Ovis aries: one gene and its partners. The protein of the gene in region 1 interacts with the protein of each later gene in a biochemical or structural test. Links are inferred from orthologs where the notes say so. Each region holds a gene or a part of one and is shown in the gene's direction. Other genes may lie near its edges.

What was found.
Region 2: the proteins of UBE3A (region 1) and ACTBL2 form a complex in vitro, tested with the Homo sapiens proteins (2 studies listed by BioGRID). The link is inferred for Ovis aries from reciprocal best matches to the Homo sapiens genes UBE3A and ACTBL2.
Region 3: the proteins of UBE3A (region 1) and PRKACA form a complex in vitro, tested with the Homo sapiens proteins (2 studies listed by BioGRID, with this or other methods). The link is inferred for Ovis aries from reciprocal best matches to the Homo sapiens genes UBE3A and PRKACA.
Region 4: the proteins of UBE3A (region 1) and UBQLN1 form a complex in vitro, tested with the Homo sapiens proteins (2 studies listed by BioGRID, with this or other methods). The link is inferred for Ovis aries from reciprocal best matches to the Homo sapiens genes UBE3A and UBQLN1.

The regions. Positions count from the first base shown.
Region 1 is NC_056071.1:1,627,715-1,631,214, reverse strand, and holds part of UBE3A (ubiquitin-protein ligase E3A), read left to right. Parts: intron 1-1,327; coding exon 1,328-1,533; intron 1,534-2,125; coding exon 2,126-2,290; intron 2,291-3,500. UniProt on the Homo sapiens protein: E3 ubiquitin-protein ligase which accepts ubiquitin from an E2 ubiquitin-conjugating enzyme in the form of a thioester and transfers it to its substrates.
Region 2 is NC_056069.1:21,992,623-21,995,541, forward strand, and holds ACTBL2 (beta-actin-like protein 2), read left to right. Parts: upstream 1-1,198; coding exon 1,199-2,329; 3' UTR 2,330-2,419; downstream 2,420-2,919. UniProt on the Homo sapiens protein: Actins are highly conserved proteins that are involved in various types of cell motility and are ubiquitously expressed in all eukaryotic cells.
Region 3 is NC_056058.1:9,913,766-9,917,809, forward strand, and holds the start of PRKACA (cAMP-dependent protein kinase catalytic subunit alpha), read left to right. Parts: upstream 1-1,244; 5' UTR 1,245-1,254; coding exon 1,255-1,300; exon of another isoform or gene 1,301-4,044.
Region 4 is NC_056055.1:36,050,383-36,054,636, forward strand, and holds the start of UBQLN1 (ubiquilin-1), read left to right. Parts: upstream 1-1,454; coding exon 1,455-1,634; intron 1,635-4,254. UniProt on the Homo sapiens protein: Plays an important role in the regulation of different protein degradation mechanisms and pathways including ubiquitin-proteasome system (UPS), autophagy and endoplasmic reticulum-associated protein degradation (ERAD) pathway.

The DNA.
Region 1 (3,500 bases):
TTTACATTATATGCAGAAATACTTTTAAGAAAAAACATACATGAAACAATTTTGCTTGATAGTAAATCAGTTAAAATGATGACAATAGAAATACCAAAAAGGAATATTTTAGAAGAGCCACCCTTTATGGAGCTTTTCTTAACTGTTCTGATCCAGTTAATACCATATTTGTAATTAAATGAAGTTTTTAGCACTTCACTAGATTTGTAATTTCAGCCTGTAAAAAAAAGTTGGATATAAACTGAGATTCAAGTATAAATTAGGTAATTTATAAAATTTTGTTTCGTGAACATTAAGTTGCATTAGAAAAATGTCTTAAATTCATGTTCTTAGGATCAAGGGGACCCTTTAAACTTCCCTTTATATTTAAATTCAACTAAATGTGAAAATTAAACATTTTAAAAACTGTTTAAAAAACTTAAAAACTGGTTGATTTCTTTAAAAAATGTTGATTTTTAAAGTTTATTCTATTGGAACTTCCCTCTCTTTCCTAGATCTAATTCTTGAAATATTTTCATTTAGTTTCACAGTAGCAACTACAAAACATTTTATAGTAAAATGAAATTGTTAAGTCAATTAAAATATCATTTTACATTTATCTTAGATATTTCTTTACAAGGAAAGAGATAAGTCTACCATGGTAATGGCTATTTAATTACTATTTTTAAATGAGTGATATAAATAGTGAAGACCATGTGAAATTAAAAGAAGACTACAAATTAGTTTTGTTTTACTTTTTGGCTCACAGTTAATGTGTATATTAAATGGCTTTGGTTTTGGGCATAAGTTTATCAAGTTTGCCTGAGTTTAAGTACTTGGTATCTTTGTTAAAAAGGTGCTTGAAAAACTTCATGGAACCATTATGCAATTTGGAGGAAAAAGACTTTTTCTTAATGAAATTCAAAATTGTTTTTTAAAGCAATGCATGTGGATTAAATATGTTTTAATAAGTGGAACATTTTCAAAATATGATTCTTTTTTCTTTTGCGTTTTTCAACCATTCAGTGGTAAAAATATGAATGCAAGTTAACTTCTGATTCATGTTAATAGAAGATTAGAGAACTTGAATTTAATGAACAGTTTTCCTAACTTAGAAAATGCCAACAGAATGGCTTATTACTTTAAATATATGCTATACAATTTGTAGCATTCATATGTACTGGAACTTTGTTTTCGTAAGTCCTGACATAACAGAAAAAAGCCCTAATGCAAATAAGTTTACATGTGTAATTATTTTATATTTATTTTTGTATTTTATATGTATAATTATTTGTTCATCTGTAATAAAATATGAAAGTAATGCATTTAAAAAAATCATTTCTTACAGGTATGTTCACATATGATGAATCTACAAAGTTGTTTTGGTTTAATCCATCCTCTTTTGAAACTGAGGGTCAGTTCACTCTGATTGGCATAGTACTGGGTTTGGCTATTTACAATAACTGTATACTGGATGTACATTTTCCCATGGTTGTCTACAGGAAGCTAATGGGGAAAAAAGGAACTTTTCTTGACTTGGGAGACTCTCATCCTGTAAGTCTTGTCATTTTTTATTCTTTTAGATTTTATTTAAAAGCAAATACAGAATTTAATTTATATAAAATTTTTAAAGCTTTGATTTGAAATCTTTGTTAATATTTATACCTAGTGAGATAAACTTGTTTTATTATCTATCTGAAATGCCATAAACACTTAAAAACTTGAAGGAGAACTTGTTACAAGCAAGTCAGCTTTACAAGGTTGATTCTGTAGAAAAGTGTTTCTAATTTTTTTTTTTAATGGAATCATGAGATTGCTGGGTTGAGTCAGAGCTGCCCTTAGTCAGTGGCTCTGGTGGCTGCAGCTAGCCCCCCCCTTACCCTTGAGATGCCTCTAAGGGTCTCGGTAGAGCACAGTGTGAGACCCATAGCTAAGTAGCTGGTGTGGGGTTTCTCAGCAGAGGGACGCGTTAACCACTGACTGACTGACTTTCTTTATGTCTGCATAGAAACTACTAGAAGAGGGGTACTGTTTGTGGTTTAATTCTTACTGTTAGTTTTTTGAATCTTTTCCCAAGAAGAGTGATACAGATTGTTGTATTTTATAGTTGTGTGGTAACCTTAATTTTTCCTTTTCTGATTGGTAGGTTCTGTATCAGAGTTTAAAAGACTTATTGGAGTATGAAGGGAATGTGGAAGATGATATGATGATCACTTTCCAGATATCTCAGACAGATCTTTTTGGTAATCCGATGATGTATGATCTAAAGGAAAATGGTGATAAAATTCCAATTACCAATGAAAACAGAAAGGTAATAAATGTTTTTATGTCATCCTTGTCTTTGTCTCTTTAATAACAGAATTTTAAAGCGTATATGTGTGCGTTTGTGCGTGCACTGCTTCAGTTGTGTCCCACTCTGTGAGACCCTATGGCCTGCAGCCCAGCAGGCTCCTCTGTCCATGGGATTCTCCAAGCAAGAACACTGGAGTGGGCTGCCACGCCCTCCTCCAGGGAAAGCACATACACTTGTAGTTTTTAAGGAAGTTTCTAATGTCAGCTCTACAAAGAAATCAAGTAACTAAGTTCTTTTTCATTAAATGAAATAGCCACAGTTCTTTAAACCTTGACTAAAGGCTGGTATGAGAGCACGTGGTTGGGCACTGAACTCCTCCTGGAGAGAGAGGCCCCGAGTGGGCGACAGTGCACAGATGTGGGTGGCTGTGGGTAAAGCAGGAAGAAGGCTGTCTCTCATATTAAGCTGTAGAGGGGTAGGAAACAAGGAGGGTCCTTATAACCAAATGGTCAATAATTGCTTCTAATGCACATACAAATACACGTGCCTTAAATAAACATCTGAAAAGTACTAAAGAATAAATATTTTAAAGAAATCAGTTTTGTGTTTTCTGTTGACTAGAAAAGTATGCATCTGGAAATGGGAATTATGATATATATAAAGTCTTTAAAAACAATGTTTATATTAATACAATTTTTGATAAAATATTAGTTAACTTGGGATACAGAGTTTATTTTCCTTTTTTTATTTGGTACAATAGCTTGCTCACCAAGTGAAACACTGATATTTTTGTTGAAACAGATAACGGTAGGCAGCTTCCCAAATATTCTAGAATAGGAAACATGAAAGACTTCCTTATTTGCTCATTTCCAGTACATTGCACTCTTATTAAAAATGTCAGCTTTTATAAATTTATGTATAAATGGTTTAAATGTTTTTGCATTTGCATAACCTAATTGAGAGAACTTTAAAATTGTATCAAGGCCCAGCTTTTGTTTAATATCGAAGTTGAAACTTATATGTGTGTGGCCTCTTTAGTGGCTCAGAGTGTAAAGAATCTGCCTGCATTGCGGGAGACCTAGGTTCAGTTTCTGGGTCAGGAAGATCCCCTGGAGAAGGGAATGGTGACCCACTTCAGTATTCCTGCTGGAGAATCCCATGGACAGAGGAGCCTGGCCAGATACAGTCCATGGGATCACAGAGTTGGACATGACTGAGTAACTAACAC
Region 2 (2,919 bases), on another chromosome or scaffold:
TCTGTTTTATCATGATACATACATTACCAGGTTATCTATATTTCTATATTAAAAATAAAATGCAGACAAACTTCCTGTGATAGGATCAGGGCTTAATACATCCTAAAACTGAAGTAAAGCTAATACTATTTCAATTGGATACATTTTAACAGTTACAGAGATGGTTGATATCATAATATGAATCTTAAAGATCAAAATGTTTTAAAGATCAGTTCAAATATTACTTAAAATTTTCTTATTGCTAAACTTTGCTCATTGTTATAAAACAAGAATTATTGCACATAAATATTTTATAATCTGCATTTTATCTAATAAATCATGCAAGATGGCTGAACATTCAGCCCCTATGCAATCAACATGAACCCAACAAACCTAGTTCTATGAACAATGTCTAATAAGCATAGTGCTTAATGAAATTTGGTTATTAGAATTTATATCAGGAAAGAAAATCTGTAGTAGTTTATTGATTTTACTTGATCACTAATGCACTAGAAGTCTCTTAAATATCTCTAAATTTTTACATGACACAAATGCATAATAATTACAGCTGTGAGGCCTCTCTGGGTCATTCATTATTTTTATTCATTAAAACAGTTTCTATCATGATAATATGCTTTGGGGTTTGGAATCTAATGGAGAATAAAATCTTGAAAAAGTTGTTTTCAGAGTCAAATTCATAAGAACAATGTATTAAGAATGGAAAATTAAATCTAGGGTACAGAAAATGGACCCAGAGGGCAAACTAGGGAGGAACCGCCCCTTTTGGCATTATTAGCCATACCTCACTCCAGCTTTCTTTCATCTTGCATTTCTATGCCCCATTGCATCATCATCGTTATCCAGACACTGCACCAAAGCAAACCGACAACCCTGTGTAGGTTGCCTAATTACAGTAACCTGAGATTCAGCCACTTGGTAGCCAATTTTCCCCTTATGAAGGAAGGTCTACTAATGATTTGTATCATCATAATTATTAATACCTCAAAGGCAACCCCACCCAGAAATGCTGAGAACTGGTGGGACAGGACATGGGAGGTGCCAGTGTGTACCTTTAAATACCTATCATCACAGCACAGGCTCCCCTCTCTGCAGGCAGCTCTGAAGAGTTGTCAGCCTCTTCATTCTCTCGCTTGTACACCAGAGTCTGGTCTTTGTATTTAACTTCTGTTCACCCATCTGGAAGATTCTGGACAGGACCATGAGTGATGATGAGCTGTCTGCCTTGGTGGTGGATAATGGGTCAGGGATGTGCAAGGCAGGCTTTGGTGGTGACGATGCCCCCAGGGCTGTGTTCCCTTCCATGGTGGGGCGTCCCCGGCACCAGGGGGTCATGGTAGGCATGGGCCAGAAGGACTGCTATGTGGGGGATGAGGCCCAGAGCAAGAGAGGCATCCTGACCCTGAAGTATCCCATTGAGCATGGAGTGGTCACCAACTGGGATGACATGGAGAAGATCTGGCACCACACCTTCTACAACGAGCTCCGCGTGGCTCCAGATGAGCATCCCATCCTCCTCACTGAGGCACCCCTCAACCCCAAGATCAACCGGGAGAAGATGACTCAGATCATGTTCGAGGCTTTCAACACACCTGCCATGTACGTGGCCATCCAGGCTGTGTTGTCCCTCTATGCCTCAGGCCGGACCACCGGCATCGTGATGGATTCTGGGGATGGGGTCACTCACACTGTGCCCATCTATGAAGGCTATGCCCTGCCTCATGCCATTCTACGTCTGGACCTGGCCGGCAGAGACCTGACCGATTACCTCATGAAGATCCTGACAGAACGAGGCTACAGCTTCACCACCACGGCTGAGAGGGAGATTGTTCGTGACGTCAAAGAGAAGCTGTGTTATGTGGCCCTAGACTTTGAGCAAGAGATGGTCAGCACTGCAGCATCCTCCTTCCTGGAGAGAAGCTATGAGCTTCCCGACGGGCAGGTGATCACTATTGGGAATGAGCGCTTTCGATGTCCAGAAGCCATTTTCCAGCCTTCCTTTCTGGGCATTGAGTCCAGTGGAATCCACGAGACAACCTTCAACTCTATCATGAAGTGCGATGTGGATATTCGCAAGGATCTGTATGCCAACACCGTGCTGTCCGGAGGCAGCACTATGTACCCTGGCATTGCTGACCGGATGCAGAAGGAAATTGTAGCCCTGGCACCCAGCACCATGAAAATCAAGATCATCGCTCCCCCAGAGCGGAAGTATTCTGTTTGGATTGGGGGCTCCATTCTGGCCAGCCTGTCCACGTTCCAGCAAATGTGGATCAGTAAGCAGGAGTACGATGAGGCTGGTCCTCCCATCGTCCACAGGAAGTGTTTCTGACTGGGCTTCCATGCTAATGCATTGGCATTGTCCCCAAGTTCTAGATCATGGCGATAGTACTGCTTTTATCCACTTCCAATTGAGTCAAGGTAAATTTCCATTCTTGCTAGTGTGTAAACTAGCAAATTCATCTCTATCCAAGCATTGTGGGCTCCCGCCCAGCTAACGATATTTGACCTCTATCAACTTCTGGATAATTCTGATATTCTATTCTATTTTCTTTACCATTAGGGGTCAAAGAAATATAGACTTGCTTAAATGAAAATAAATGACAAGGAGTAAAGTGAGAAATGTCCTTCCAAAACAGATAACTAGAATTTTCAATCTTTAAATACTAGTTCTTGCTTTAAATATTTAACAATAGCAAGCTGTACAACCTGTAAAAAAAAATGTGTATGTATTTAGCAAACATGCCTTATTAGTTAGAATTTTGGTTTGTTTTGCTTCTTTGTATAGAGACAGTAAATTATATGGGTCAATGATATTCATATATTTATAAGCACTGAGGAAATAGAATAATCTATCTTAAAATATACTGATAAATCTGGCTATCTGAACAGCTAATGTGAATTTCTTAATTCCCCAACAGT
Region 3 (4,044 bases), on another chromosome or scaffold:
GAGGAAATGGCAACCCACTCCAGTATTCTTACCTGGATAATCCCATGAACAGAGGCGCCTGATGGGCTACATTCCATGGGGTCACAAAGTCGGACACGACTAATTATGCACGCACGCACGCTGAAGGAAGAGGCATCTTGCTACTCTGTTTCAGGAGATAAGGTTCCTTTTGCACTGCCCAGAGGGAATCCTCAACCTGGCTGTGCCCCAGATTCCTCATCTGTAAAATGGGAATGATGATAATAATACCTACGTGAAAGGAGTGTGGTGCGAAGTAATGTATGTAACAAGTGCCAGCTCTTACTGGCATGAGGCCAGGGTAGGCACCCAGCAAAGAGGTGTCTACTGAGGGCCCCACTCCCAGAGCCCAGCATCCTCCTGAAGCTCCTCCAGCAGGGTCCCATCCTGGACCCAACCCTGCTGCTGCTATCCTGCGCCAGGCCTTATGAATGACGACGGCCGGCAGCCCGACGACCTATGACCCGCGGCGCCTGCCGCGCCCCTCCCCCGCTTGGCAGGTGGACAGCGGCTGCGCCGGGGCTGGGGTTGGGGGGGCCGAGGCGCCAACCTTGGCTGGCCCGCAGCCGCTGCCGCACTGAACGGGGGCGGGGGACTGCGGCGCGCACGGGGCCGGGCGAACGCCTGCCTGGACCGCCTCCTGGGCCTCGGAGCGCTGCGCGGCCGCCGGCCAGCGGCCGCCGGCGCGCCGGGGCAGCAGACTGCGCCTCCGCCCCGCCCTCTCACCCAGGGATTGACACTGAACGTTCTGCCGGGGCTTGCCGGACAGCGCGCCTCCACCAATTGGTATCCTCGCTGGGCGGACCCCGGACCCTGTCGGAAGCCTCCGCCAATCAGACGTGTTAGCCCGCCCGGTTGGGGTCTCGCAAGCGCTCGAGTGGCCAAGCGTCCTAGGAGCGCGTCATGAGGCCGAGAGCCTATGGCAGCGCGGGAGGGTCGCGAAGGGCCAATGAATGGCGGCGCAGCGCCGTCAGTCAGGGCGGCCTAGGCCAATGAGCTGCGGGCTGCGGGGGCGTCACGGACAGCAGCAGCGGACTTGGGCTGAGGTTCCCGGGCGGGCGGGCGCGGAGAGACGCGGGAAGCAGGGGCTGGGCGGGGGTCGCGGCGCCTCAGCCAGCGCAGCCAACCCGAGGGGCCGCCGCCGCCGCCGCCCAGCGTGCTCCGGGGCCGCGGGCCGCCTCCAGCACCCGCCGCGCCGCAGCTCCGGGACCGGCCCCGGCCGCCGCCGCCGCCGCGATGGGCAACGCCGCCGCCGCCAAGAAGGGCAGTGAGCAAGAGAGCGGTGAGTGCCCGGGCCGTGACCCCGATCCCGGCCTCGCGCTGCCAGCCTCCTCCCTGTCCATCACTGCTTGGCCCCTCCCCCCACGCCCCCCCCCATTTCTCTCTGCTTACCCCCAGGCGCCCCTTCCCCCTGCCTGTCCAAGGTTGGGGCCCGGGGCCCGCAGAAGACCTCGTAGGAACCCCGTTGCCAAAAACCGCCCCTCCACTGCAAAGACTGTGCTCCCCCCTCAGCTGTCACTGCCAACCATGGCACGTATGACCGCTGGGCCCCCACATGGGGCCCTATCACCACCCCACTCCGTACTTTCCTGGCCCCTCTCCTTAGGTTCTAATCCCCCCCCACTTCCTCACTCACCTCTTCCACAGATGAGACTCACTGCCAAACCCCGACCCAGGCTTCTGCCAGCCTGGGAGTGCTATGGGGTCTGCCTCCGCCCAACAGGGACCTTGGCCACTTGGTGACCACACCCCTACCCCCTCCAGCCCCCGCCATCTTTCTCCTGCCCTTCCCCTCTTCACCTTATCACAGCCCCTCTTCAAACCCACCCTTGAGCATTTCCCAGAGCCACTTCCAGCATTGTTTTTCCCTTCTGTGTCACTTGGCATGGGGGACAGGCTCTTTCTGGGTCCCTCTGCCCCTCTCTCATCCTGTCACTGTCACTGCTTCTCTGCTTGTGCTTCCTTCTCCAAGCAAGCGTCTGTCCCTGGCCGGGGTCGCACACTGTTTGTGAACCTAGAGAACTGCTTCTGTGCTTGCGAAGCCAGGTTTGAGCCAATCGTGCTGGAACTCCATGCGTCCTCTTCCTTGGCTTTGGGGGTGAGGGGTTTCAGCAGAGAGCCCCTTCCCATCTCCTGCTGTGCAGTGAGCTCTAGGCTCTTTGGAGGGCCCCTCAATAAATGGTTGTGTCACAACTGAGGCTTGATCATTCACCCAGTCCCTCAGGCTTCTTTACCTGCTCCTGGCTTGGGATGAAAAGTAGGGGATTAAGAGTGAGTTTACCAGGGCTCATTCAGCTAGAGCTGGGATGGTGAGAAAGAGGACTCAAGGGATGACAGTTAGGAAGAGTAGTGGGTGACATCTAATGACTCGCTTTGCCAAGAGACAGATTCTGATCATCCCCAGGGTTCACCCAGAGGTGGCCCTGTTTCCACCTTAAGCCCCCAAATCATATAGGCCTTTTCCAGCCAGCCAGGGAAAGAGATTCTGTACCTGGAAATGCCTTCAGAAATGGTCTTGAGCTCCTTCCTCAAGTCATCCAGCTCTCAAATTGTCATCACTCCAGCCCTAAAGTTGGGCCTCAACTAGGATCCTTTTCCAGTTACCCAGAAATAGAGTTGAAAAGGAATGGCCACATCCAAATATGCCTTTCCCAGTTATTTGTCTCAGATCCCAGTGTCTGAGTTCCCTGAATGCTCCCTCCCAGAAAGACCCAAGCATGGAAGCCAGGGAACTTTATTTCCACCCAGATTCAAATAGCAGAACTTATAGCTGCTGAGCAGCCATGGAGAAGCCTGACATGTCACTGATGGGCGGGGGAAAGGGAGGCAAGTGCCTGTAGCTGAGCGCTTGATGACAGAGGAGCAGGTGGGTAGTGACCAAAAATGGTCTGGGCATGAGCTTGGAGGGGATAGACAGAAGGGGAGGGGCTGGGCCCCCAGCAGGTGAGGCCCGCCCAGAGGTAGAAGGTAGAAGCAGGCAGTTGTATATTTCAGTGACTCAGTTGAAAGTTGGGGAGGTGCCATAGTCCTGGAAAACTTTCAAGGCGTATCAAACACATGCAGTGGAGAGAGGTGGGGTGGCAAAGCCACACAGGGAAAAGGATTCCCAAGAAAAAGATCAGAAGCTCCAGAAGGAACCGCTAATTCAGAGTACAGGCTGGACAGCCAGGAAGGGACTATCAGGATAAAATAGAGCCACTATTTACTGGGCAGCTAGGATGTGCCAGGCTAAATGGTCTTCATAGATCTTTCTGCTCAAGTGATTTTTCATAACAGGCTGTTACCTGAATTTTACAAATGAGCTCTCTGAGTTTGACATAGATGATGCCACAGAAGCAGGATTCACATCCATTTCCATCTACCAGCCAAATTCCTGGACCCCAGAATTTCCCAACTCAAAGCTGCCCCCCTGATTTTTCACTATATTCACTTCTATTTTGTTAACGGAAATAAAAATTTTGACTCACTTTTGTTCAGATGTAAGTTTTGATCTGTCCTGAGAAATAATATAAATGAAATCATGGGATTGCTATACCAGTTATATTCTCTCTGGTACACCTTAAGATACAGTGTAACTAGAAAGGCAAAATATCCTTAACATCAGTTCGTCCCCAGCCAGTGGGACCTGGTTACACTTTGGGAAACACCCTAAGCTGTACTTCCTTCCAGAGATTTGCAGGGGCTGTTGGAGAAGGAGACAGGATGAGTAAAGAAGCCCTTTTTTGCTTCAAAGCTCCTATTCTGAGAGGATGGAGTTAGGCAAAATTTGCCCTCTCCCGCAACTAGGATGGGGTGGGGGTAGGGATAGTAGCCAGGCCAGCCTTCAGGGGGCACCTGAATTTCATCTGCCAGACATCAGCCCAACTAGAGTAAGGAAAGTGCCAAACCTTAGTAGGCACCATTTGGCATCCTGGAGCCCCCTGTGCTGCCGTCTCCATGCTCGGGCAGGACAGCCTTGGCCTCCTCTCAAGAGGGCAGGAATTTAGAACCAGCCCGGGGATGGGGTGGGGGAAAGTGTTAGTCACT
Region 4 (4,254 bases), on another chromosome or scaffold:
AACTTTAGACCCAGATTTCAGAGTGGCTTTGCTAAGAAGTGGACTTCATAAAAGAGTACTTAAAAGAGCCAGGACAGAGTTGGACGGTTTAAGAACAGAAATATAAAGTGTATCTTTGCACATCTGGGTCACGGTGTGGTGTCAAAGTTTACATTTGCGCAATACTGGTTTATAAAGTTTATGCCCAGTGTTGTACATTTCTTGCAAGCCATCTTTAAAGGCAAGTGATGAGGTCATTTCCAGTTTAATATTCTCTAGGGGAAAATTAACTTCCTGTTTCTTATTTACACATGTATTACACTGAAAATAATTTTTGAACCTTTTGTGTCACCTAAAGGCTGAAAGAGCAGTAAGTTAATTTGATAGAATATAAAATGAACACCTCAGCTACACTGTGCTGTCCCAGCCGGGAGGGCATGCCTTGGATACTATGTTTCTGCCCTAAACATCTCACGGGACAGTATTCACAGAGAATCACAGGTGGGCTAGCGCGCCATTGCCAACATAGGAGGCCTGATCACCTGACCAAACCTGGCTGACCAGGATGGGAAGCTCTGGCCCCGGAGCACTGACTACTCGGAATAGAGCAGGGTGGGCGATAGGGGCGTACTCCGTCCATGCGCACCGTGTAGTAAAAGCAAGCGTTTAAAATTTTTAAAGTACGCGAAATTTAAGCACATTTAAATATCAACTACAAAAAACCCTCGCGGGCATTTGTTCCAGACCCTCCTCCCCGTGGGGTACACCGTGAAGCAAGCTCAGGCTCCTAGGGGATGCGCACCGTAACCGCCAGAGTGAGGTGAGAGGGTGGGGAACTAGCGGGCCTGCCATCGCGCAGGCGCAATTCCGGCCGCAGAGCCCGGTGGTCTAGCTTCCTTTCCAGTAATTTCGCTAGCCGTGACGTCATCCTCGTGCGCCCTTAACGGTGCCTCCCAGAACCCCCCCAATTTATTTTTTGGTTAAAGAGATAAGAAGGAATGAACTGACCTCTTCCACCCCACTTTGTTTTTAGTCCTTCACTCTGGACGCACCTACGCTTTGAGCAATGGAGCAGGAGAGGGAAAGAAAAGCACTCAGAGAACCAAACCGCGCCGGCCAGGCATGACTCGGCGACGTCGCCAGCCGCCTTACCCGGCGTGCCCCGCGCGGCGCGGGCAGAGCGGCGTAGGGGGAGGGGCGGGGAGGAGGAAGCGGCGGTGGCAGTGGCTGCTGCGGATGTCGCTGCGACTCATCGCCGTCTGAACACACAGCGGCTGCTGAGCGCCCGACTCGGGCCTGCGCCGGAGCCCACGCCAAGCTCCGCGGCTCCTCGCCCGCCAGGGCGGCCCTGAGCCAGTTGTCACTGAGGTAGCGTGCCCCACATTCTCCGCTGCCCGGCCAGGCCGGCTCTGGCGTTGCCTGGCTCCCGCTCCCTCACCCGCTCCCTCCTTTGCGCCTGAGTCACCGCCGCCGCCATGGCCGAGAATGGTGAAAGCGGCGGCCCTCCAAGTTCCCAGGACAACGCCGCCGCGGCCGAAGGTGCCGGCGCCCCCGCCGCCACCGCCTCCACGGAACCCAAGATCATGAAAGTCACCGTGAAGACCCCGAAGGAGAAGGAGGAGTTCGCAGTGCCCGAGAACAGCTCCGTCCAGCAGGTGAGGGCCGCGCTAGGCTCGGGGCGGGGTGGGGATGGCGGCAGGACCTCCGCCAGCGGCAGGAGGAGACTGTTTTGCAGGGGCTTGAGGGTAAGGGGTCGTCTCCGGAGGTGCCCTCGGCCATTCTCCGGGGTCTGATCCCAAATTAGATCACACCCAGGTTTGTGGGTTTGCTCCTGGGGACACCGCAGAGGTTTGTGGCGTGGCCTCTTGGCCTGTTTATGGGGCTCGCCGATGCCGCTCTCCTCGGCGCCTTCCTCTTGCTCCGGCGTCCGCCGACCCCAGCCTCCTCCCTCAGCTCCCCGCCTCGAGCCGCCTCCCTCTGACTCTGCACAAAGGAAAGAGACCCGCCGCCTGGCTCGGGCGGAGTGGAGGCTGGGCGAGGGTTTGGCTTAGCCCGGTCTGCGGTTTTGTCTCTTGAAGGGGGGGAGAAAAAAAGGGGGTGCTCATTGTTTTACCTGCCTGGGGATTAAAGTAGATTTTTGGGATGAGGAGCACGTGTGCATTTAGTTCTGCGTTTTGACCGCTGAAATCTTTCCCACCTTCCAGTCTTTAAAGAAAAAAATGAGCTATGACGTAGAAATTGCTTTCAGCCAAATCTTAATAGAACTAGGCTTAAGGAGAAAGGTGGATGACTTTCGTTGACGACATGCTGGTTCTGTTTTTTTTTTTTTTTTCTAAGTGTATTTGTCATTCTTTAGATGCCGGTCGTTGGGGAGGTTTTTGTTTGATTTTAGAGGAATAGCAACGTTATTCACATGTTAGCAATTGCAGTCAGATGAAAGAGCACGAACCTGGAGTTAATGGAGGAAATTTAAAAGTAATTTACCGCTTAAAATCTATTTAGGAATACAGTTATTGCCGTTAATTAATGATCTTGAGGAACTTAAATCATTTTAGTTTTTGTTAAATATACGTCCCAGAATATTTCCGTAATTACTGAATTGATCTCAGACAGTTGGTCAGCAGATACCAAGACAGTGTGAACAGTTTATGAAGAAGCAAAAATGAAACGTACCTGTAAGTTTCCCTGAAGGAACAATAAATAATTGCGATATTTGTTTATATGATTATGAACGGTGGTGTGTTCTGTCAAGTAGTAAGAATGTGTAGAAACTTTGACCACCTTTTGAATCCCTATTTTTTTGGTCTCTCAATTTTCCTATAAAATTCTCCCTTAATTTTTAAAGTATTTTCCAGCATACAGGAAAGTTGGAATAATTGTGCAGTGAACTATCATGTGTCCATCACCTACATTTAGCATCTTGCTTTATTTGCTTTATCAAACAATTAATCATTTATTGGTCAATTTTATTTTTTGGATGCAATTCAAAGCAAGTTGCAAGTAGTAGTACATGTTACGCTTTTAAACTGTGGTGTTGGAGAAGACTCTTTAGAGTCCCTTGGACAGCAAGGAGATCAACCAGTGCATCCTAAAGGAAATCAGTCCTGAATATTCATTGGAAGGACTGATGCTGAAGCTGAAACTCCAATACTTTAGACACCTGACGCGAAGAACTGACTCATTTGAAAAGACCCTCATGCTGGGAAACATTTAGGGCGGGAGGAGAAGGGGACGAAAGAGGATGAGATGGTTGGATGGCATCTCGGACTCAATGGACATGTTTGAGTAAGCTTTGGGAGTTGGTGATGGACAGAGAAGCCTAGCGTGCTGCAGTCCATGGGATCGCGAAGAGTTGGGTACAACCGAGCAACTGAACTGAACCATTGAGTTCAGGTTTTCAACTTAAAATTTTTGAAGGTAAATTTGACTTGCAGTGAAATGCAGTCGGTTGCCATTCCAGGAGTTTACACAAATACATACACCTGTGTAATCCGAAGTCTTCTGGTGTCTGCTTCTGAATGTGCTATCTAGGTTGGTCATAACTTTCCTTCCAAGGAGTAAGCAAGCGTCTTTTAATTTCATGGCTGCAGTCACCATCTGCAGTGATTTTGGAGCCCCCAAAAATAAAGTCTGACACTGTTTCCGCTGTTTCCCCATCTATTTCCCATGAAGTGATGGGACCAGATGCCATGATCTTAGTTTTCCGAATGCTGAGCTTTAAGCCAGCCTTTTCACTCTCCTCTTTCACTTTCATCAAGAGGCTTTTTAGTTCTTCTTCACTTTCTGCCATAAGGGTGGTGTCATCTGCATATCTGAGGTTATTGATATTTCTACCAGCAATCTTGATTCCAGCCTGTGCTTCTTCCAGCCCAGCGTTTCTCATGATGTACTCTGCATATAAGTTAAATATAGAGTTTCACATAAATGGTATACGGTATACACTCTGTTGGGTAAGGCTTTTTCATTCAGCTTAGGTTTTGAGACTCATTATTATGTTACTCCTTGAAAGAAAAGTTATGACCAACCTAGATAGCATATTGAAAGGCAGAGACATTGCTTTGCCAACAAAGGTCCGTCTAGTCAAGGCTATGGTTTTTCCAGTGGTCATGTATAGATGTGAGAGTTGGACTGTGAAGAAAGCTGAGCACGGAAGAATTGATGCTTTTGAACTGTGGTGTTGGAGAAGACTCCTGAGAGTCCCTTGGACCGCAAGGAGATCAGTCTTGGGTGTTCTTTGGAAGGAATGATGCTAAAGCTGAAACTCCATTACTTTGG